3 linked regions of the Rattus norvegicus genome follow. The protein of the gene in region 1 purifies or fractionates together with the protein of each later gene. This does not show direct contact. Links are inferred from orthologs where the notes say so. Each region holds a gene or a part of one and is shown in the gene's direction. Other genes may lie near its edges. The genes, in order: Os9, Derl2 and Serpina1.

The links.
Region 2: the proteins of Os9 (region 1) and Derl2 purify together in Homo sapiens (affinity purification with western blotting; 3 studies listed by BioGRID, with this or other methods). This does not show direct contact. The link is inferred for Rattus norvegicus from reciprocal best matches to the Homo sapiens genes OS9 and DERL2.
Region 3: the proteins of Os9 (region 1) and Serpina1 purify together in Homo sapiens (affinity purification with western blotting; 4 studies listed by BioGRID). This does not show direct contact. The link is inferred for Rattus norvegicus from reciprocal best matches to the Homo sapiens genes OS9 and SERPINA1.

Annotation. Positions count from the first base shown.
Region 1 is NC_086025.1:64,799,412-64,807,281, reverse strand, and holds the end of Os9 (protein OS-9 precursor), read left to right. Parts: intron 1-84; coding exon 85-295; intron 296-411; coding exon 412-513; intron 514-682; coding exon 683-780; intron 781-950; coding exon 951-1,005; intron 1,006-1,604; coding exon 1,605-1,690; intron 1,691-1,907; coding exon 1,908-2,183; intron 2,184-2,308; coding exon 2,309-2,498; intron 2,499-3,344; coding exon 3,345-3,509; intron 3,510-3,674; coding exon 3,675-3,787; intron 3,788-4,052; coding exon 4,053-4,178; 3' UTR 4,179-4,765; downstream 4,766-7,870. UniProt on the Homo sapiens protein: Lectin component of the HRD1 complex, which functions in endoplasmic reticulum (ER) quality control and ER-associated degradation (ERAD).
Region 2 is NC_086028.1:56,233,143-56,242,206, reverse strand, and holds the start of Derl2 (derlin-2), read left to right. Parts: upstream 1-4,213; 5' UTR 4,214-4,234; coding exon 4,235-4,327; intron 4,328-5,106; coding exon 5,107-5,172; intron 5,173-7,845; coding exon 7,846-7,919; intron 7,920-8,992; coding exon 8,993-9,064.
Region 3 is NC_086024.1:128,630,420-128,637,997, reverse strand, and holds the end of Serpina1 (alpha-1-antiproteinase precursor), read left to right. Parts: intron 1-2,487; 5' UTR 2,488-2,491; coding exon 2,492-3,119; intron 3,120-4,498; coding exon 4,499-4,769; intron 4,770-5,642; coding exon 5,643-5,790; intron 5,791-6,618; coding exon 6,619-6,807; 3' UTR 6,808-6,897; downstream 6,898-7,578.

The DNA of each region.
Region 1 (7,870 bases):
TTAACAAAAGATAGCTGCTGTTCCAAGAACCAAAGGTAGTTTGGTGGTTCTTACCAGTGAGTCTCCCTTCTTGCCTTGCCACAGTTCCTGTGTGACGAGGGCGCGGGCATATCTGGGGACTACATCGATCGAGTAGATGAACCCTTCTCCTGCTCCTACGTACTGAGCATTCGGACATCGAGGCTCTGCCCACACCCTCTCCTCCGCCCACCAGCCAGCGCTGCCCCACAGGCTATTCTATGTCACCCAGCCCTGCAGCCTGACGAGTACATGGCCTACCTCCAGAGGCAAGCTGGTGAGTACACAAGACAGCGAGGGAGGCGGGGACAGACCTACACGCAGGTGGGTGGGCGCTATGGGCACCGCAGGCACTGACGCATCCCTGGCTGGTGTGCACTGGTTTCCTGGTAGAGTCAAAGCAGCATGAAGAGAAAGTCACAGAGGAAGTTCAGGACACAGACCACCAAGTGTGGAGTGGGAGCAAGGCTGCCGGAGCACCCCCAAAGAAAGAAGGTGGGATGAGGCCTTGGCCAGTCGTGATGCTGGCCACCACGACCTTCCTCCCTGTCTTCCTGTCCGGTGCTGACATTGTGGGTGGCAGGATAAGAGGGAGTGTATCCCCTCTTATCCTGCCTTCTTCTCTGCCCCCTTTCCATATTCTCCTCTGTTCTCCATACCCCAGATGTGAGCCCCACCAAGGAAGATAAGGAATCAGAGTTTTGGAAAATGCTTCAGGAGCCAGAGGAGCAGGCTACAGGAACAGAGGAAGCACAGGCAGGGGTGAGATCAGGCCTCTCCGCTGTCCCTGACGAGCCTGGACTCAGGCCCTGGGATGGCTAGGGTCCCTCAAGCCAAGGTCTACGAGGTGACCTCTGTCTGTCTAGGGATGAAAGGAGCATGGAGGGCAGAGACAAGCCCTCACACCTGAGTCTGACCTTTCTCCTCATCAGGAACAGGACCTGAACCATGAGGCTGCAGCAGACCCAGCTCCAGCCCCTCCCACTGGTTAGTCAGCCCTGTGTCTCCCTCAGTTCTTAGATGGGGAGAGCTGAGCTACTCGGGAGGTTGGGAGCCGGGACATCAGGTCCATTCCTCCCTACCTCCCTGTGTCTTCTGGGGCCAAGACCTGAACCCAGACTCTCGCACACTGATGATTTACCTCTAAGCCATCCAACGGCCTGGCCCCAGTAAGCCCACTCACCCTTAGCTTCTCTCTGATCAGCAGAACCACTTAAGGAGGTCAAAGGGCACTTACCTGCACTCCCCTGCCATGTCTTGTCAGTTTGCCCACCTATAGAATGGGGAAGGGTAAAGGGATCTGTTCTCCACAGCAGGAGGCCCAGAACTGAGAAGCTGAAAGCAGACTCCAGTAAGGAGTCCTAGGCTCCGAATCTCCTCTATGGTCCTAAAAATAAAAACTAAGGTTTTTTTTGGGGGGGGGGGGGTAGCAGTGCTTTGCTACTCACATGCCCACCATGTTGCCTTCTGCAGGCTTCCTGAGGCAGACTGTGATCCTCACCCCTCGCCCCCCCAAGCCTCTCTTCAGGAATTAAGAGATGATTTAAAATGCAAAATGCCCACACCCACTCTCTTTTTCATCTCAGATTTTCAGAATAATGTGCAGGTCAAACTCATCCGGAGTCCTGCAGATTTGATTCGATTGATCGAGGAGCTAAAAGGTGCAGAAAAGGTACGGACCTGCCCAGGGCCAGTGGGAGCCACCTCCCCATTGTGTTCCTTTGGAGAGAGACCTTTACCTGGGACAAACTGGCCCCAGTAGAGCCTGGTCCTGCCACCAGCTCCCATTCTGCCCTTCCTGTGGCCCCCACTAGCATGTCCTGCCCCCCCCCCCAGTATTATGAAGGACTCCTTCAAACTGAACTCCTCCTCCCCAACTCCCCACCCAGGGGAAGCCAAGCGTAAGGCAGGAGCAGCCTGGAGATGATACCACAGAGGCCCCGCAGAGGGAAGCGGAGGCGAAGGGAAAGGGTGGTGAACCCCGGGGTCTCGTGGAAGAAGAGGATGGTGACGAGGAGGAGGAGGACGAGGACGAGGATGAGCAGCAGCTCCTGGGAGAGTTCGAGAAGGAGTTGGAGGGGATGCTGCTGCCCTCGGACCGAGAGCGCCTGCGCTCAGAGGTTAAGGCTGGCATGGAGCGCGAGCTGGAAAACATCATCCAGGAGGTGAGCACCCTCCTGCGACTGCCACAGTGCACAGGACAGGAGCGCCCAGCATGGTGGCTGCCCTTAGTCTAAAGGGGATGCCCCATCTCTCTTCCCCTAACTGCCACCTTCATTGGGCTTCACAGACAGAGAAGGAACTGGACCCAGAAGGGCTGAGGAAGGAGTCTGAGCGGGAGCAGGCAATATTGGCTCTGACATCCACTCTGGACAAACTCATCAAGAGGCTGCAGGAGAGCCAGAGTCCAGAGCTTGTCCAGAAATACAAGAAAAGGAGAGTTGTCCCTCAAAAGCCTCCCCCATCACCGCACCCTACAGGTGAGAGCCTGTGCTTCCTCTCCCTCCCTCGGGAGCACTGTGCAGTGTCAGCTCCTCCCCCCACTGTCCTCCCTGCAGACACACCTCATAGCCAGCCTTCTGGAAGAGCAGGCCTGGTCTCTGGTTTGCTCCATGCTCACTGCCTGGTGCTCTGCCTGGCATATAAGCAGGGACTAAACGAGCTGAGTCTGGACGCTGAAAAGCTCATCAGGAAGAAGGAGCTCTATGCCGGCCTCGCCATGGGTGGGGATTGCAGAAAAGGAGACAGGCAGTCTGTGGGTTTCCATAGTGGACATGGTGGGAGATGGACAAACAGGCAGGTATTGGGGGGGGGGGGGTCTCTGCAGCAGGAAGGTCCCTGGCTGTCAGTGTGAATAGGCAGGCCTGTTGGCACCAGCCACCACCAGCCAGGGCACACTTGTGTGATCCCTTCTTCCATCTCCTTGTACTCATGTCATGGGATTCTGCTGGAATGGAGCAGAGAGAAGTTATTCCAGCTTCCAACCTTCTATCCACCTTTCTGGTAAACATCGAAAGGCTGTTAAGTCTGTGGAAAACAGAGCTATGGCTCTCCAACCTGCTCCATAAAGGTGACACTTCTGCAGGTGCAGGTGGCCTGGCCTGGCTTTTAGGAAACAGCTGTTCTCCTATAGAAGATGGAAGGCTGGGGTGGGGGTGGGGGTCTGCCTCTGGGGAAGGGCGTGTTTTCGAACCCTGGATCACATGCATGAGAGGTGGAGCTTCTACTCAAAGCAGCCCTTGGCTTAGAGAGGGGCCACCTCACAGCCCTTCACCCCGGAGTCACCATGGCTCTGCTTTGTGTCTCCCCGTGTCTTCCCCTCTAAGAGGAGGAGCCTGAGCACAGAGTCCGGGTCCGAGTCACCAAGCTCCGTCATGGAGGCCCCAATCAGGACCTGACTGTCCTGGAGATGAACCGGGAAAACCCACAGCTGAAACAGATCGAGGGGCTGGTGACAGAAGTGCTGGAGAGGGAGGGGCTCACGGCGGAAGGTGGGCCCTGAAGGGCAGTGCTTAGAGCTGTCGGAAGGGCTTGCCACAGGAGTGGCAGGGCTGGGTCAAGGTGGACTGGACACCTCACCTTGGGACCCACCCGGAGGGCAGGGGACTCTAAAGCTCCCAGCTTCCCCTCCTCACCACCCATATTGCTCTTGCCAGGCAAGATTGAGATCAAAATTGTGCGACCCGGGGCTGAAGGTAAGGAGGAGGACACACGCTGGCTGACTGATGAGGACACAAGAAACCTTAAGGAGATTTTCTTCAATATCTTGGTGAGACATCCTACCCACATCCTGAGCCGCAGCACACACCACTGTGCTGCTCAAATTAGGGTCTGGTTATGCCAGCCATACCTGTTTGTGCACCCCATCCTCCTGTCCCAGGTGACGCTAAGCCTCAGCTGCTGCTCAGGGGAGTCCATTGGGAGAGTCCATTGGGAGGCCACATCCCTAGTCCCTGCCTCCCGCCGAGGTCTCAGGACCTCCCTAGATCCCACAGAACAGGAGTTTCCTTGGCTCAACCCCTCCTTCCTCCCAGGTGCAGGGAGCAGAAGAGGCCAATAAAGAACGCCAGCGACAGAGTGAGCTGGAGAGCAATTACCGCCGTGTATGGGGCTCTCCGGGTGGAGAGGATACAGGGGACCTGGATGAGTTTGACTTCTGAGACCACCTTGCTAGGCCCTTTAAGGATTACTGCAACGTCCTGACCAGCTCTGCCTCCTTACCCCATCCTGGGGCCCTGGAGGCAAAGGGCAGATTGGAACCCAGCACTGGATTTCAGGGGCCCAGCCTGAGGGTGTGTGAAGACCCACGAGGGAGACCTGTTGCAGTCCCAGGGAGCCACCTAAGGCCACGACCAGGCTATAGGTTTCGCTCCCCAAACATACCCTCCTTTGCTCCTTTAGCTTTTCCTGTCCCCCACCTTCTTAGCACTTAACCCCACTCTACCCAGAGACTTGATGAGACCTTGTGCGTGGGAGTGGCAGGAACAGCAGGGCTGCAGTTTTTCAGACTCCCAAGAAAGCAGATTCCCAACCCCACCTTGCCCCACCCTACCTTGATCCCTTTGGTTTAGGGAGCTGTTGCCTCTCCCTTGGGGCCCCTACTTCCTGTCTGCTGACTGTCTCTTGTCACTGAGGGAACTGGAGCCCTTACTATCACCTCACAAACAATCCCAGCGAAAAGGGTTGGAGATGGCGCCACCCCTGTTCTTCAGCAATCAGGTTTCTAAATAAAAGACCGGACTGTCAAGCCCATAGGCTTTGTTGGGAGGGCGAATGAGGTAGGAAAAGCTCAGGGGAAGGAACATGTTCTCCGGTCCTGTTTGCCACATTACCCAAAAAGTATCAGTGTGCCTGGGGTACACAGGAGGTGACCAGGACAGCCGACCAAAGCCTTCCAGTATGGAGAGAGATGCTGTTCTTTCCTGGGTAAGCTGACCAGGCACTGGCCTCCAAAGGCCTGGGGGAGATCCTGAGTGTCAGTCTTTGCTTGGCAGTCGTTTTACAAGCCAACCTCTGAAAGGATAAGGATTTGGAGGCAAGTCTCAGAGGACCCTAAAAGCTGTGGCAACGCTACTGGAGACCTTTGGTTCCTCCTCTCATCATCCGTTCCTATCCCAGGGGCTTGCACACGTGAGGTGAGCCCTGAACAGCTGAGTTATACCCAGCCAGTTGCTTCAATTGGGCAGAAGCATATCTTCCCTAATCCTCTCCTTCCTTACATCCTGAAAGCCAACATGTGGATCACAGAGACCCTCCCACACCCAATGGGGCATCTCCCTTCCGGCAGCATACTCCAGATTCCTCTTGCCAGTCAATCCCTCCATCCCTCGGGTTATTTACCATTCCCTGGAAGATTCCACCTACAGGCAGGACAGGGCTGCTGCCCACATGCCATTGTCATAGCACTCCAGAGACAGGTGGGCCTGGGGTTCCACTCTTCCCGATTGCCAGCTGTGGGTCCCTCCTGCCTGTGTCCTCTCCCAGAGTAGTGGGCCCTCAGGACAGTAAAGACAAAGTTTCCCTTTTGAGTCCCCAGCTAGAGACAAAAGGGGTGCACTACAGGAAAGGGACTGAAGAGGGCATGACCTGCCACCTCCAGAAGACTGAAAAGATTATTTCAGAAACTCCTGGGGCCAACCCTCTTGCTGCTCAGTGTGGATGAGGGCCGATTTCATGTTGTGCTTAAATTGTTTTGAAATGTAAACAAGTCTTGCTTCCCACAGCCCTGTGAGTCTCCTAAGGGGATAGGTGTTACAGCTGGCTGGGAACTTAAGTGGGCTTGAGAGTGGCCAAGGCAGAGAGAACACTGGGTTCAAACAACACCCAGTGACCTCCTCTAATGCTGAGCAAGCTCTGGCCTCCTGGGGGGCAGTAATGAGGTGTCACAGACTTCCTCAGAACAGCAGTCACCTTACAAAGCATCCTCTGAGCTCTGAAGGGATACAAATGTGGAGGCAAGTCCTAGAGGACCCTAAAAGCTGAGGCCAAGTTATAGGAGACACCCCTGGACTGAAGAGGCTGCAGGAGATTTATCACCGGTGCCTCAGCATGGTCAGAAACAGAAACCTGGCTTCATTGAATCAACCTGAACTTTCAACAGGACACTCCTTTTCCAGTCTTTTGACTTTTGGCAAAATTTCCACGAAGGTCAGTCAGCCTCAGCTATGCCAAGGCAAACAAAGGGAGCAGAACAGCAGGTGTGTGTTGGGGATGGGGGAAGATGGCATCCAGAAAGGGGTGGGGAGGTTTGGGGATGCAAATCCAAGCTGAGAGGCATGGCTGCCGAGGGGCTGTGTGGGTTCAGAAGGAGCAGCAGCTTGTCTGTGCCCGTCCAGGGCCACCCACCCCTCCTTTTCTGCCCCAGCCCAGAGGACTTGAAATCTTATTCCCCACAATGCTAATGCCACCCATTAAAGGAAACCAACTACTTGGCAGTAGTTTGCTGACATTCTGACCGTTTTTTCACTGGCCTGCAGATCCCCTAATGGGACTCTGTTCTGCTCAGGGTCCTTGTTTCCTCCCCATACTCTAACACCCCAAGATGCTAAGGAAAGGTGTGAGCGTCTGCTCTAAGGGAAGGTGAAGATGATGAAGGGGGGATCAAGGTCTCAGCTCATAGGCAGTTGGGGTCTGCCAGGTCTTCCTGACTTTCCCTCTCCACAACACTCCTCCTTGGGTCATGCCAGGGGCTCTGCAGAACAGCCTCCAGATGAGATCTGTGTCTGGAGCTATGACCAGACCCCATCAGTTCACTGGCACATCTACAGATGAAAACTTTAGAGGACAATGACAGTTGGAACCAACCCTACCCAAAGACAACGTCCATACCACCAACTGATTCCTCAGGGTAGACCATAGCAGGTGGGGGCCCAACCTTCTCTAGCCACTAGCGCAGTACCACCCTGCTGTGCCTTTATAAGGTCTTGTGCTTACAGCTTCTACACACAAAAGGCAGGGCTGGCTATGCGCTAAGCTGCAGTACTATGGCCCAGGCCACCATGACCAGGTGACCCTGCAACAATAAAAATGAGTGAATGCAGGGTTGGGGATTTAGCTTGGTGGTAGAGCGCTTGCCTAGCAAGCACAATGCCCTAGGTTCGGTCCCCAGCTCCGAAAAAAAAAAGAAAAAAAAAATGAGCAAATGCCTGGACCTTGTGGACCTCAGGGCCTGCAAATGGTTGGGAAACCTTCTGCCCCTTCAGTCCCTAGTGTCTCACCTCCATTAGCTCTGATGCCTAGTGATCAAAGTGGGCAGACATCTTCCCCAGGGCAGCGGTCTTCCCTGAGGCCACAGCACTTGCAGGGGTCCTCTCGACACTAAGAGGCCACTGAGTTCACTTGCCTGCCAACCCCACCTCAACTCCCCAGGCCTGTCTGTTTCTTCAAACGCCATGCTCCAACTCCTTCCTAGGCTCAGCATCAGCTGTGCATCTAACTTCTCTCAGGTCCCCACTGTTGCTCCTACCTCACAAACCCAGGGTTGTTGTACAAAGCCGGAGCTACATCCGTGCCTGGGGGTGCTGTCCTAACCCCAGCCCAGGAACCAGCACCTCTCTCAACCCTCTTCCTCCCCCAGTTCCCAAGCACGGAGACCATACCCTCGCCTGCCTGCCCAATAACAGACCAGCATCTCACCCCCTAGACAAAACCACTTGCTCTTTAATTGCTGTTAAGATTCACACCACCTGCTTTGGAGGTGAGGGGGGTAACCCCTGCCCCCTCTTCACTCCACTGCCCAATTACCTGGTCTTTTGCAAAATATTTTAGCCAGGAAAAAAAAAGACCGGAAACCACTGACACAGACGGCCCAAAGCCGGGCTGAATAAGGGTGGCAGGGCTGGGCCAGAGAAGT
Region 2 (9,064 bases), on another chromosome or scaffold:
GTTAGTCAACTTGCTGCTCTTTGCAGAGGGCCCAGATTTGGTTTCCAGAATCCACATAAAATCTCATAATCGTAGCTTTTAATCTTTTTTTTTTTTTCCTTTTTAGCTACTTTGTGGATTCTTCATGGGTTCTTCTTTTTTTATCTGTCTCTGTCTTCTCTGTCTCAGCTCAGCTTCTCCTGGCTCACCTGTCACTGTCTTCTCTCCTCAGTCTGCTAACCCGATTCACTTTCAACTGTGTCCTGTTCTCACTCTGTTCAATCCTCCCTTCTCTAGCCCCCATTCAATCGTCTCTCTTCCTATACCAACTGTCTTCTCTGACCCTACTCTTCTGTCTCCTGGACACTCCCCAATCCTACTACTCTCCCTCCTACAGCTCCTACCCATCATTCCAGTTCCAGGGGATCTAGCACCCTCTTTTGACCACTCCAGGCACTGCACACAGTATGGCACACATACATGTGGGCAAACACTCAAAACACAAAAAATAAAAATAAATTAAAATTTAAAATTTAAAATGTCTTAAGATGGCTCAAAGGTTAATAACACCTATTCTTGCAGAAGACCTGGATTCAGTTCCCAGCACCCACATGGTGGGTCATAACTATCTACAACTGTAGTTCTAGGGGATCTAATGTCCTGTTCTAACTTCTTTAGGAGACCAGGCACATACATAGTGCATATACATACATGTAAACAAAGCACTCATCCACATACATTTCAAAAATAAAATTAAACAACAACAACAACAACAACAAAGAAACAATAGTGGGGATGGAGAAACGACTCAGTGGTTGAGAGCTCTAACTGTTACTGTGTAAGACCCAAGTTGAGTTCCCAGCATTCACATGGTGGCTCACGACTGTCTCTACCTCCAGTCGAAGACAATCCAATGTCTTCTGGCCACCAAGGAAACAAGGCACATGTGTGGTGAATATATTTACATGCGGGCAAAGAAAAAATAAAGAGAAAAAAACCCATATGCATAAAAAATAAAAAGAAAGTTAGGAACCAGGTAAAAGTCAGACTGACACTGAAACAGATTACTGAGGTTCTTTCTGACTTGGTCCTTGATACTCCATTATAAGATTCTGCAGGTGCAGCTAAGGATATAATTGCTGGCGAGCCACAAGATTAATACAGTCCACATCAAGGCACTGTATTCTATGGCAATTCACTCTCCTACCTTCAAAGCACCTAAGACTACATTTGCAAGAGCTCTCAAATAGTAACAGTAATGTTAATCAGTGATCTCCTACTCTTATTTCTAAATTACCATTTACTAATTTATCCATTTGTGAATCTGTTTTATGATACCTGTTTGCATAATCCTTTAATGCCAGACATGGCACACAGATTCATAAATTAGAGATATATTTAAGAGACTTTGTTGGGAACAAAATCAGAAAAACATGCCATAAGATATGACCTTAAAGTCAGAAGAGTCTGCATTATAGTTGGAATAAACCTTTTAAATTCTTATTTGGCAGTTCCCTTATCAGACATCATCTTTTTAATTTTGCCTTTTGTCTACTACTTTCTATTCAGTCACTGGGTCATCTAAGAATACTTAAGCTCTTTCAATTTTAAACCGTAAGTTTTTTTAAATATTTCATTTTATTATTTATGTGTGTATAAGCCTATATGTGCATATACCACATGCTTATGGGTGCCCCTGAAGGCCAGAAGTGGGTGTCAGATGGACTGGAGCCAGAGTTCTACTGAACATGTGTTAGAAAGCAAACTCAGGTCCTCTGGAAGAAGCAGCTTGGGCTCTTTACTGTTGAGTCATGACTACACCCACACAATAACCACCTTTTAGAAACTGTGTTGTAAGAGAACAGCTACTCAAGGCTACAAATTCTTTTACGTAGAGCACGTGTACTTTGTGTCGGTGTCTTCACTCTAACTTGGCAATGAGACTAAGCCATTCCCCAACTGCTCTAACACAATGACAAAGTCATCTGAGTAGGGAGATGTGGATATTTAGTTATCCCTCCAAAGGATGCAACCTTAGTGGCATCTGCTCTTGTTTGGCCTATGTTAGAAGCCTGAGTTTACAGGATATTCTTTATGCTCATAACTAATGGGTTAGAAAAATTGATTTTGCATATGTAGAACTAGTACAGGAAGACAGACATCTTTTGTATTTCAAAATAGGGTCTCAAAACAGTTCTTGATTTTCACTTCAATTGCTAGGAGCCTTAGAGGTATTAATTGAGCTTCTAGTCATAAGAGACGATGTCAGCTGATGATGATGGAGATCTTTCTATATCTTCTGAGGTACTTGTTACATATTTGCATATATAATGTCACTAAACATTGCCAAAACATCCTCAGAACGTCTAAGCTGGTTTACAATCATTTGGAATAGACCAGAAAGAACTTCTTGGATCTGCTAACACTCTAACTTTTGTGAATTTGGTAGTTAATAAACTTGTTTTTCTTTCCTATAGAGCTAAGAGGTATGCCGAGGGCTTTTCTACATACTAGGTAAGCACTCTAGTGCTAGATTCCCAGTCCCACACCGTATTTTAAATACTAAAACCATCTGGCTTCACATACTGTTTGAACACTGAAACCACCTCCACCCCTCCTCTACCTTCACATGCGTTGTTTATATTGAGATGGCTTTCCTAAAAGGTATTTTCATTATATTTTAGCTAAAGATAATAGCTAGGTGGTCATCCGTTACAAATTACCCAAATGATGGGTATATCTACTGACAACTTGCACCCAGTAATTCTCTTTTTTTTTTTTGGTTCTTTTTTTCGGAGCTGGGGACCGAACCCAGGGCCTTGCGCTTCCTAGGTAAGCGCTCTACCACTGAGCTAAATCCCCAGCCCCCCAGTAATTCTCTTAAGTGTGCACTCTAACTCTCCCTCAAAGTTCTCAACATTCCTGGATTGATGCACCATGATATATAACCAAACTCCTACATCCAAACTTCCAGTTCTGAGAAAAATTCTGCTTTTCTCTGTTAGACACTACCAATGCTATGATGAGGCAATAGTTATAAAGATGAAGTTTTAACAAGAATTTGCTAAGACCTCTCCCGTGTTTGCTCCCACTCTCCTCTACGTTGTCCACACTGGCCTAGAACTTCAGGATGCAACAAATCCTCTGGCTTCAGCCTTCAGAGTGGCTATGAGACACAGGCCGGTGCCACTACGTTCAGCCTTATAGTCTTACTTCTAAATGTTATTCTCTCCCACTTTTTACTTGGTTCTTACCAGTCTTGACAGTCACAGTCCCTCGATTTTAATGCTTCTTTATAACTTACTGAATATGTCTGCCACGATCAAGATAGCCTTTGCTCCAACACAATGCATTAGAGGCAGATTCAAGAGCCAGCTCGAATACACATCCCTGAAGAAGCAGCCACACCCTCCTTCGCTCCCCCCCCCCAAGTGCTATTAATTCATCTACCGCCTCTTCTCTGCTAGATTTGAATTCCTGCGGCTGTAAATAAACATGGAAAGTTCCCACACCGTCTCGACGAACGTAGGGGACTTCAGAGCCTACCACCGCCACAGACAAGGCCCAGAAACCGCAGAACCCGGAGCGCTTCCGGCAGTTCCAGCTCCCGTTCCACCTCACAGCCGCGGGGCATGCCGGGAACTCTAGGTCTCCGTGCCCAGCCAGGCCGGACCGGAGGAATTCCCTAAAGAACACTCCGCTGCCCCGAGGCCACTCCTCCGGTCCCGCCCTTTCCGTCCCTCCTCAGCTAGCATACAGCCCCTACCGAAGCGATCCCGGGGGTGATGTAGTCCGCCACACACCGGCTTCCCGCCACTTCCTTCAAACTACACTGAGCTGCTTGGAATAAGGCGGCGACACCGGCTCCTCAGAATCAACTGCGACCTGCCTCTGCGAACGAACGCAAAGGCGGGATGGATCGCACTCCTGATTGGCTAGCCGTGGGTCGAAAGGGGCACTGCGATTGGCAAAAGGAAGGAGACAAGGAGGGAAAGCTAGCTGTGGCCGGCAGGGATTGGCGGAAGGAGCTGGTACTTTCTCTCTGCGTTGGTAGGCGGAGAAGTAAGGATGGGCCGACGCAGAGGCGCAACTCTTGATTGGTGGGTGAGCGGCCCCAAGGCGCCAGCGATTGGTGGGTGTCCGAGTACACAGCGCTGATTGGACAGTAGTAGGTAGGCTGGAGGCCAGTTTTGAGTCCGCCCCGCCGCCTGGCATACTGGCGGAAGGGGAAGGGGGGGCAGGCGCGGTGGGAAAGATGGCGTACCAGAGTCTCCGGCTGGAGTACCTGCAGATCCCGCCGGTCAGCCGCGCCTACACTACCGCCTGCGTCCTCACCACTGCGGCCGTGGTGAGCAGCTGTGGCGCCACATCCTCTTTTTTCCAGGCTAGCTATGACTGCGTCTTCAGAAAACGGGTTTGGGCCGCAGAGAAGCCCAGTGGGTCTGGTCCCAGGGGTGGGTGGAGACATCCGGAGCTGACTCTAGGGTTTGGGATATTCCCAAGGGTGCCAAGCCAGTGACCTGAGAAGGGTGTGCTCCTTCTTGAGGGGCCAGGTCAGTTTCAGACAGATGAAGTCCAGACCTGTAGTGAATCAGAACTGCGGGAGCCGCCCACCCAAAAATGTATCTGAGAGGTCTAGCTATGTCCAGGTGACTAGTGGGAGTTAGGTCCGCTAGGTTCACAGACTATTATATTGAATATAGAAATCTCGAATTGTCTGGAAACATCTTTCAAAAGACGGCCTGTGGATATAAATAACTGGCCGCATGTACCTAGTCCTAATGGTAGCAGGGTCTTAAATCTCTTATTCCCGAGTTGTCTCACCCAGCTGTTTGAGGTGGTGACCACGTGACGCACAGATTTGTAAAAGATGCTGTTGTCTTGTCTCTAAAATATTCCCACTCGCCTGCCTTGTAGCATCCTCAAATATTGCAACATAAAACTTACATCGTGTGTTGATACAAAACGGTTGTGCAAATTCTAAAGAATCTCTTACCAGCTGTCACAAGCAAGACAGAAATTTATTCCAAGGGACAGAAATTATTAGAGCTACTCATTCTTTGTTGTTCATGTTGGAATTTTGTTTTGCGATTGATCTGCTTCAAGAAGTTCTTTTTTCCATTTCAGCAGTTGGAATTGATCACACCTTTTCAGTTATACTTCAATCCTGAATTAATTTTTAAGCACTTTCAAGTAAGTGGTCTATAGCAACTATGATATAATATTTTCACTATCTTTTTTTTTCCCATTGTTTACTAAGTAGTAAATCCTGTCAAATACAGTCTCAAAAAATAACCCAGTGGGGGAATCTCTGATTACAAGTCTTGTTGAGATGTAAAAAGGGAATTCCACAACCTGGTTGGACTCCAGAGTCATTTAAGAGCTGCTAGGTATTTGTAAACTCATCCTATACCAAATTAGAATTGCCAGAGGCGGAGCCAGGGACAGGCAGAGTAAGCAGGAGGATGGCAAGTGCTAGATAGGCTTGGGCTATGAAGCACTGTGTTAAGAAGAATGCTAAGGGTGGGAATTTCGAATTTATCCTCTGTTTAGTGTGTTTTTGATGTGTTGAGATTCTATATTTGACTACAACTAGTTAAGAACTAATGTGGCTATGATCTCAGTAGTCAGGAACCTGAGCCCACCTTGAACTACATATCAAGGAATTGTCTCAACACACAAACAACAATAACAACAGCAGTAATAATAATGTGATTTGAGAATAGACTATCGAGCTAGCTGCCGAGAGAGTCTGACAGGATAGCCTTATTTTGTCCATTTACCACCCAGACACACCTAACACTGTTGTTATTCCTCAAGGTCCAGCTCATGAACTCAGTTTTTTATCACTGGTCTGTCTTCTAGAAGTCAGATTATACTATCGAATTTTATACCATTATCTAAAACAGAATGTTGACTTTCTATATTACAGTTTGAAGAAGTCGTTTTCCATTGATTAAAATGCTAAAGAGAAGTATGTTTTACAGTTTGAGGAAGTCTTTTTCCAGTGATTAAAATGCTGAAGAGAAGTGTGTTTCCATGGCAGGATGGTCATTCACACTCTAGGTGATATGGAGGCAAGACCTCAATGGTCCTTATTGATGCTTTTCCCTGTCCCAGATGTGTCACACTGCCTTTGAACCCAGAGAACTCCAGCTTGCCTTCCAAACCTCTGCTTTTATCTACCCTCAGAGACAGCTTCTTCCCTGTACAGTGCCCTCACTAGCGTGAGAGTGCTATAAACTCTGAGTTGTTTGCATGTGAATAGAGTGCTGGCTCCTTTTCACTCCGCTGTGACAGAATTCCTGACAAAGCAACCTAAGAAAGAAAGAGTTTGTTTTGGCTAACAGTTTGTTGGTAAAGTCCATTGTGGTTGGGAAATTGTGACATCCAGAGCTTCAGGCAGTTGGTCCCCTTGCGGAGGAGTACGGGTGCTCAATTCACTTTCCCCTACTTAGTTGTCCTAGGACCCTAGACTGTGGAATGGTGCTCATTAATGTCCTTCCCACCTTGGGTGACTGAATCTAGAAACTCCCTCACAGACAAACCCAGAGTTTGTCTTGAGTGACTAGATCTGTCAGTATTAATTATCACAAGTAAATTACCAGTGACCAAGGGCTTAAGGGTGTATGAAGCAGTCAGTCCTCTGATACCTTGACTTTGCCAAGTCGAGATGTCTGTGACCTTTGCTAAGATTGCTTCCTTCTGGTTTGTTTGGCTTAATGGCCGAGGTTCTTCGTTTTTTTGGTTTGTTTTTTGGTTTTTGGGTTTTGTTTTGTTTTGTTTTGTTTTTGGTTTGTGTGTGTGTGTGTGTGTGTGTGTGTGTGTGTGTGTGTGTGTGTGTGTGTGTTTGTTTTGTCTATTTTTTGAGATAGTTTATCTTGTAGTTGTGGCTGGCATGACCCTCATGGTATCCTCCTGCCTCAGCCTCCTTGGAGTCCATCACTGTGCTTTTTTTCTTTTTTAAAGACAGGGTCTGTTATGTAGCCTGGACAACTCTTGACCTTAACAATTCTGTGGTCTTCCTGCCTGGACTCCATAGTGCTAGGATTATAGACATGAGCAACCATCCCTAGCCGAGGTTAAATTCTTGCATTAAGTTTGGGATTAGGAGTTCTGGATTTGCTTTCACAGTCTCCACCTATCTGTTTGTCCTTGGGCAAGCCATAAGTTTTAAAATCCCTTAATTGTCAAATGAGGATGGCCACACCAGCTTTCTTGCTTATCCCACATATGACAGTAAATTATGTAACCCTTTGTGAGTAGTTGTATGCTGAGTGGGTGAGACTGCCCTGCATCTTTCCTTGTCTCTTAGAGCATGAATTCTGTCTTGTAAGGAAGTTGACTTCAAACCAGAACCTGGCCGTTTACCCTAGGATTTTTCTATCAGAATGTTGTGTGTGGCTAACGCAGAAACTTTTCTTGGCAGCTTTACATACTGAATCCCTGAAATTTTTAGTACCTATAAACTCCTCATTTAGATTATGGTGACTACACATATAAAAGCACTCTGTTTTGTACACTACCCTAGCTTTTACTCAGGGACATCGTGTGGATTTTTGTGTTGTTTAATAGGAGATAATCATGATTTTGAATTCTTTTTCTATCCATATAAATTTTACAGTCTTAATTAGTCCCTTGCGCGCACATATGTGCACACATGCGCACACATGTGCACACACACAAACTTGTGTAGCACGGAACAAACCCAGAATTGGATTGGGTGCTCCATTTGAATGTGCCCCACCTAGGACTTTGGAGCCTCAGAGTCATGTTGTTTTTATCTCAGTATAGAAATGTTTCTTGGTCGTGTATTTTATTTAATGTGTCTTTCTCTTGATTCCCCCCACCTGACCCCTTCTGCAGATCTGGAGGCTAATCACCAATTTCTTATTTTTTGGTCCAGTTGGATTCAATTTTTTGTTTAACATGATTTTTCTGTATCCTTTATTAAATGGAGTCAACATCAAAACTTTAGCTCGCATAGTATGTATATAATATAGATATAGTATACATATAAAACTTAGTAAGTTGAAACTATTACTCTTGTTTATTTTTTATAAAATTTTAGTTATGGCTTCTGGGTCTGTAGTTTGTAATCAGATCATCATAATGTTTTGAAACTGTTTGTAACTCCTTGTTCATATGGGAGGGTCCAACTGTTAAAAGATATTAGTGTCCATAAATTGTGATTTATTTTAGGCATATTTGTAAAATAACATCAGCACCAGCTGGCACAGTAGTCCAAAAGCCTGAAACCTTGGCAATGCAACAGGATTTTCCCAGGTTTTGGAGTGGGTTTCTAAGAGTGGGGACTTTGATTGTAAGGCTAAAAAGCCAATGTCAGAATGTCTGCTGGCTTGACGTGTTTAGGTTTGGTTACAGACAGGAAGAACCATGGTAGTTGAAGAGTCAGATGGTAATTGGGTGTGCTGAGCTAGACATTCCTCCTAGACAGTCCTGCTCAGCTGGGGGAGGCAGAGAGCCTTTAGAGGTGATGGGACTTACGGCCCAAAATGGCTTCTTGTGTTTCCTGCATAGAATATCAGAATGATAAGTTTCTAATGAAAGGTTTTTCATTATAGTTTTTATTGACTAGGAAATAGAGATGCTTAGCCTGCCAGCCTAGAAGTAGTTATCACACAAGGCTTCTTTGCAGGGATTTCTTCTAAATTTGCAAGCCAAATATGGTGCAAATTAACAAGTAGTTGAGCATGGGAAAGACAACACTGAGTTGGAAGGGATGTAAGGGTTATTGGAACCGTGTTCATGGCAGTATTTGAATTAGCATTCCAGCCAGTGTCAGGCTTTGGAAAACATGGTGCTAGTTTTGACATTGCCTAAAATGATTGATAGGGAGTAAAAAAAAATCATATTACCCTTCAGACATTCTTAGAGAAATGCAGCTTGACTGTTTACAGATTGTATAAACCCCAAATATGTTTCAGTGGTTTGTGACATTTTATCTTCTTCATATGTGTATGCCTAATATTTTCTTAACTTGAAACTTAAGATATCGTTATTGTCGAATGCTAGAAGAAGGCTCCTTCCGAGGTCGGACAGCAGACTTTGTATTTATGTTCCT
Region 3 (7,578 bases), on another chromosome or scaffold:
TCGCCACCCTGTGAAGGCCCAGCCTCTTGATGGAGGTGGGGAATTTCCACAGGGCTCGCCAAAATCCAAACAAGAAGGAACAAAAACATCAGGAATGGAAATATACAGAACTAAACTCAGTGTCATCGCCAACTCTAACACACCAACTTGTTTGAGAAAACATCGACGTGTACTACGCAACCTGTGTTCAGCTCTCCAAATTATTTACACCAAAGGGCAGAAAGTGCAGCTAGAGACACATCTGTTCTTCATTGTGCTCTGGTGTTGGAAAGATACTTTTGGCAGGCCAAGGGCAGGCAAAATTCAATATTTCTCGTCTTCAACTTTCCCCCTTCGGGTTTTCAGATCCCAAACTTGAGGGTTCCGTTATAGTAAGATGATAATTCTAGCTATGGGTCTAGGGAGTGTGACTCTCTTGGTAGAGAGTTAACATAGCACACATGAAGCCCAGAGCTACATAAAGAGGTCATGGTGCTACACACCCGTCACCCCAGCACTCTAGCAGTAGAAGTAGAAGTAGAAGTCAGGTGTTCAAGGCCATCCTCAGCTAGGTAGTGAGTTTAAGGCTAGCCTGGGACCCATGAGATTATATCAAAAGAATAAAATAAAAAGGATGGTGTTGTCATTATTGAATTAATAGCTAACTATGTGGTATGGTGGCCTGAACAGTCATCATACATGCGGCCTCAACTATGAAGAGAGCATGAGCTTGTAGACTAGTAGCTTGCGGGCACGTTAGAGTAGAGAGACTTCCGTAGAGCTGGAGAGGCTGGGGCTGGGGGTGTGATCTTGACTTTGGCCATCTCCAGGCAGAGTTTGCCCTCTCTGGTGCAATCCAAGCCTTGCCTCACGTCAGCCATATAACACATTGCCCTCCCCTGCTCCTCTTTCCAGCATTTGAGTTTGCATCATCTGCCACCCTTCCGTCCCCAAGACTGCCCTTTGAGAGCTTGTCCATGGAAGGTCTGATGCAGAGACTTAGTGCCCTGAGTTCTCCTGGTCTCACCTTGTAGGAAAGGCAAAACAAGGATCAAATGATTTCTCCTGGCTCACGCAGCCAGAGAGTGACAGAGCCTGGGTTAGAACTTGAGGCGGTCATGGATAGATCACTCCACCACACACATATCCCATGTTAGAGCAGAGGCATTAATTTCTGCTCTTCCAGCACTGAGATAGGAGTAGTGGCAAGGTGGCAGATAGGCTGCCAGAGATGAGGCCAGCCCAGTCTGGGTTTAGGGTTACAGAGCAGAGCACACACAGTCCCTCTTTCAGGGTAAGCCACTAGGAACTGAGGTTCCTTGTGGAGACTGAGTGTGGACAGCCCCTGCATTCCTCCTTCTCCTCCTTCTCCTCCTCCTTCTCTATGCATTTGTGGGGGGAGAATGGGTGCCTGTGTGCATGAGGAGGCCAGAGGAAGGCTCCAGATGCCCTGAAACTAGTTCCAGATGGTTGTAGCTTGCCACTGGAAGTCCTGGAATCAACTGCACATCCTCTTCTAGAGCACCAAGTGTTCCTACCTCCTAAGCCATCTCTGCAGCCCTCCTGGTTATTTCTTCACAACCTTAGGCTTCTCTGTGTACCCAGGCTACCGACATTCATCTCCTCTTCTGTAAGGATCACCACAACATCAATATGTTCTCCCTGGGGACCAGAGGTCCCCACGTGGATTCTTGAGAGTTCCCATCATTTTTTCCAGCTTCAAATGATTGTTAGTCTGGACCACAGTGTTCCTCTTGTAATTACTGACAAGGCCACTTCTTACCCTGTACCTTGGCTTCTTCCTTACAAAATGGGGCAGAGACCTGTGCCTCAAGATCATCTGAACACTGCTTTGGTGGAAATGGAACTGTTGAGAATACTGGTGAGGAATGGGACCACCTATAAGTGCAATATAGATCTGCTGTGTGGCCACTCACTAACTTCGAATGTATATCTCAACATCTCCCTTCCCAGCAAACTGAAGGGCAGTAATAGCTTCCCTGCAGGACCGTAGGAGGTCACACATGTAAGTACTAAGGACAGCATTGGGCAGATGGAGAGCATCCTATCTGATCTTACTTTGCTTTCACACATGCATGTGGAAACACACGTGCATGTGTGTATAGAGGCCTCAAGTTGATGTTGGGTGTTTTCCTCAACCACTGTCCACCTCATTGAACTTCTCACAAAGCTTCTCTGAGGTTCTGGCTAGCAAAGACAACCAGCTTTCCTCATGGATACTCCACCTCCACCCCTTGGGCTGGGATTGCAAATAGCTACTATGTCTGTATTACAGCTAAACTCCTATCCTCACACTTCCTAACAAGTGCTTTATCCACAAAACTGTCTCCATTTTTTGATACCTTTTTTCCCCTCAAAGATAGCAGTTCAGAACAGTGCTGGGCATGGGGCCTGTTCCCAGAGCATGGTTACTTCTATATTGTGTCAAATAGTAGGAGATGGGAGTTGCCACAGCCCTGACCTTGCATCTCTTTCTGTGTCTTGCAGGAAAATGGCACCCTCCATCTCACGGGGGCTCCTGCTTCTGGCAGGCCTGTGTTGCCTGGCCCCCAGCTTCCTGGCTGAGGATGCCCAGGAAACCGATACCTCCCAGCAGGACCAGAGTCCAACCTACCGTAAGATTTCTTCAAACCTGGCAGACTTTGCCTTCAGCCTATACCGGGAGCTGGTCCATCAATCCAATACATCCAACATCTTCTTCTCCCCTATGAGCATCACCACAGCCTTCGCCATGCTCTCCCTGGGGAGCAAGGGTGACACTCGCAAACAGATTCTAGAGGGCCTGGAGTTCAACCTCACACAGATACCTGAGGCTGACATCCACAAGGCCTTCCATCACCTCCTCCAAACTCTCAACAGGCCAGACAGTGAGCTGCAGCTGAACACAGGCAATGGCCTCTTTGTCAACAAGAATCTGAAGCTGGTGGAGAAGTTTCTGGAAGAGGTCAAGAACAATTACCACTCAGAAGCCTTCTCTGTCAACTTTGCCGACTCAGAAGAGGCTAAGAAAGTAATTAATGATTATGTAGAGAAGGGAACCCAAGGAAAGATAGTTGATTTGATGAAACAGCTGGACGAAGACACGGTTTTTGCCCTGGTGAATTACATTTTCTTTAAAGGTAAGATGGGATAGCCAGCTTGAGCTGGTGTCCATGGAGACACCCATACATAGTCTCAGGGACCAGTTTCTGAGCTCTCATTCCAGGCCATGGAACTGTCCTATCACGTTCCCTACTCTCTGATGGGTAAACTCTGGCATCTTTCAAATCACCAATTAAGTTTAGAGATTGGCTTCAATCAAATCCCCTGACTTGTTTGAAGGATTGATCAGAGCCGTTTTTGTCCTAGTGCTCCCCTACAAAGGAGAGTCATAGAACTTGCAAACCTTCCCCAGCTTCAGAACCAACCATCCTGGTTGTGATGGTCTGAAGAGAATACTGTTGCAGGGAGCGTACTCGATCGACCCTTCTGTTGCATACCATTATGAGCTCTGGAAACATGGGCTTAAATCTGGCCACTACTGTCTATTAGTCTTGATACTGGACAAGACATTTTACCTGCTTGGGGTGTGGCTGTCCATATTACATAGAACAAAGCTAGCTGACTGCTGTGTGGGCATGAAAGAATTAGTGAGGTTACCCAGTGTGCAGGACATAAGCACCCGATCAACTATCATCCCAAGCGTGGCCTCCAGCCTGGCAGTACTTAGGTTAAGACTCCCCAGAGAAATCACCTGAGTGAGGTCTTGGAGTCAAAACCAGGAGCTGCTCTGGCCTTCATGACTCCCTGACTCCCAGCAGAGTTCTGTGGAGCAGAATATCAAGCTAGCATGGATCAAGTCCCAGCACTTCTCTGACAAGGGCATGTGTCAATTCCTCCCCAACCCCTTTACCTCTTCCTATCCAAAAGGAAGGTGGGATTAGGGTTCCTGATGATCTCTTGCTGACAGCCTTGATTCTAGGTCCCTGAGACCCGTGTCCACTCTAATGACCTTGGTGACAGGTCCCTGAGAGCCTCTCCCACTCTAGCGGCCTTGTTGATGTGTCTCTGAGACTCTAACCCATTCTGATGGGTTCTTAGTGGTGGTTCCCTGAGGAGTCCCCCTGCCCACTACAGTAATCTTGATGATGGTGGTTTTATATAGCAGATAGGTGTCTGCACTGAACCCTTAGGTGTAGAAAGGGACTTAAGGTGCTTCCTGATAAGAAGTTAGCAAATAGAACTGTCAAGCGTTCCATTAATAACCCCAACTCACCTTTTTCTAAGTATGTAACAACTATGGAAGATATTTTCTAGGCACAAGGGGGATGAGTAGTTCTCAGCTTCTGTAATCTGCAGTCTGAGTCCTCCCATAGTCCTGAGTTACCCTCACCAAGGTTCTTGGGCAGCCTAGAAGGCTAGTAGTGACCCCCCTCCCATGCACATGAAAAGCCAAGGGCCTGTGGCTCCACCTCACTGGTTAAGGTTTCCTCTCACCCCCCCCCCCGCCCCTGTGCAGGCAAGTGGAAGAGGCCATTCAATCCTGAGCACACTAGGGATGCTGACTTCCACGTAGACAAGTCCACCACGGTGAAGGTGCCCATGATGAACCGCCTGGGCATGTTTGACATGCACTATTGCAGCACACTGTCCAGCTGGGTGCTGATGATGGATTACCTGGGCAACGCCACTGCCATCTTCCTCCTGCCCGATGATGGCAAGATGCAGCATCTGGAGCAAACTCTCACCAAGGATCTCATTTCCCGGTTCCTGCTAAACAGGCAAACAAGGTGACTCCCCAGACAGAGACCTTCTCTGACTGTCCCAAAGAACAGAAAGTGCTTGCAGGGGGGGTGGACTCTAACCCGAGGTCACAGTGAAGCGTGTAGACTAGAAATAGAGATCTCTGGGCAAGCTTGCAGGGCAAGGCTCTATTCCTGTCAGTCCTCAGTGGGGCTGATAGGTCTTCAGGACGCAGTGGTCCTAGAGCATACTCAATAGGTCAGAGGACCTGTGCACTCTGAGTCCAGGCTCTGCTGCCTGTGAGAAACCACAAGCTAAAAGGAAGTCCTGGCAAGGATGATGTGGGAAGAAGCTGTGTCCCTGCTTCCCAGCCAGACCTCCGCTTAGGTCCAATGCCCATAAAAATGCAGAGAAGCAGATAAGGCTCAAACCAAAATGGGTAACAGATTCCGAGGGCCAGTAAGACCCCATTGGGCCCTTCTCACTGCCTGTGGAAACTGGGAGCTTAGCCTTCAGTCCTGTGAAGATGAGGGGAATGTCACTCAGCTGCATTGACCCTATCCCCCCTGAGAATCAGATCCAAGGGGTAACCCTTGCTTGAGAGGAGGGACTGACCAAACACATGAGGGGATAGTGAAGCATGGTCCTGTGTATACACTCTGAATCTGCCGGAAGGACTTCTGGGGGGGGCATTTCAGGGGCTTCCAGGAGCTTGAACTTTGAAATCTCATAGATTTCAACTCCTCTTCGGCTAGAAGAGGACCATGTAGAGGGGAAGCACATGAAGATGCTTTCCTGTCCTGCTGGGGGTAGTAGCATGTCCCACGTGAGACCCAGCCAGAAACAATTCCACAACTAGGTGGATCTCAGCAGAACCCAGAAGTTCCATGAAACTCCTGTAACTCTTACCTCCCCACCAGGTCAGCCATTCTCTACTTCCCCAAACTGTCCATCTCTGGAACCTATAACTTGAAGACACTCCTGAGCTCACTGGGCATCACCCGGGTCTTCAACAATGATGCTGATCTCTCTGGAATCACAGAGGATGCCCCCCTGAAGCTTAGCCAGGTGATGTTACCTAGCCATGGTGATGTCCTGATGCCCTGGGTGTCTGTAGAGCAGCACAGGGTGTGTGGGTAGCTCAGTGCAAGGCTGGGGGAAGAGGAAAGGGATGTAGGCAGAGTCTAAGCTGAGGTTTTTCTAAGGACTGCCAGGATTCACTTGGACAGGGTGTAGTCAAATATTAGCTTGGAGGGTCTTCTTATGCAGATAGAATTATGGGCCCTTCCTTGAAGTGCTGCCCAATCCTTGGTTTCATCATCATCTGGAGAATTTAATTATTATACTTAGTTTATATATGTTATATATATTCTGAGGCCTGGTGACCTAAGAGAGTGCTCTTGAATATCCATCCCTGATATTTAGAACTATCAGTGAAATAACCATTTGAGATTATGAGTTCAACCAAACAGGCCACTGGTTCAGAGAAATTAAAGGCCGTTCAGAATGGGCAGAATGGTCTTAAAAGTCTGGACATCAAAGGTCATCTTCAAAGCCCTTGTCACAATGTGCTCACAGCTACACACCGGACAGGGACTCTCATGTAGAGGACATGAAGTTCCTCTCCGTGAAGCTACAGCTTGCATCTGAGGCCATGAGAGATGGAATCGGGAAGGGAGAACGGAAGGGAGTGGGACCAAGGCAGGCAAAGAGAGGGAGAGGAGGAGAGTTCTTAGGTGATCACCATGAGAGGGGGCTGGGGGACGAGCAGGAAGAGGTGGAGGGAGACACATGCCCTAGTGAAGTCCTCCCTAGGTGAGTCCCATGTGAGATCTAGCTCCAGCCAGGAATGGCAATCACCCTACCTTCAACTGGCCTCTGCTTCTCTCTCCACAGGCTGTGCATAAGGCTGTGCTGACCTTAGATGAGAGGGGAACAGAGGCTGCAGGAGCCACTGTGGTGGAGGCCGTCCCCATGTCTCTGCCCCCTCAAGTGAAGTTCGACCACCCTTTCATTTTCATGATAGTTGAATCAGAAACTCAGAGCCCCCTCTTTGTGGGAAAAGTGATAGATCCCACACGTTAATCACTGTCCTCAGAAGTCACATCCCTTCTGGATCGGGTCCCCTTCCTAATAATATTAAACTCAGGCTGGCCTGGCCTGATGCTTCTGCAAGTCCTCGACTCTGTGGGGTTTGTGTGCGTGCGTGCGTGTGTGTGTGTGTGTGTAGCTCTGAGTTTGTTGTGGGCTTGAGATCACAGTCTGTCTTGATCTTCCATCCATACAAATAGGTTGTGGGCAGAGGACTGTGGCTGAGACCATAGACTGGTCCTGAAACCATGTGCTTTAAAAAACATCTGTCACCTCTGGAAAATGGAGGGGACCATGTGGCTCATGCTCAAAGACCCAGGGTCCAGCAAGTGCCTATGTTCTCTAGTGACTTCTCCTCCTCTGTCTTCTGCCCCATGCCCAGTGAGGCCACAGCACATGGTGACCCTCACGGGCTCCCAGAGCTGACAGTTCAGGAGCCAGCTGTTAACTTCGCTTTCCCCATATTCCATCGAGGCAGGGCCACATCCTCTCCCATTCCAACTTTTCACTTCACCATAGCTGGTCCCTCCATCTTACCTACAGTTTCTTGAGGACAGCTAGGGGAGATTATTGGTGAAGACTGCTGCGTGACTTTTCCCAGGGAGGAGTGAACAAAACATTCACTCGTTCCAGGCAGGGTACCAATGTATCACTGCACTCAAGTCTAGCTCGGTGAGCCAATGAGTTTATTGGGGGCAATTGACAGAATCTAGATGGCTCGATTGCAGCTGCATCACTGAAAAGCCCACCCCCAGCACGAGTCCA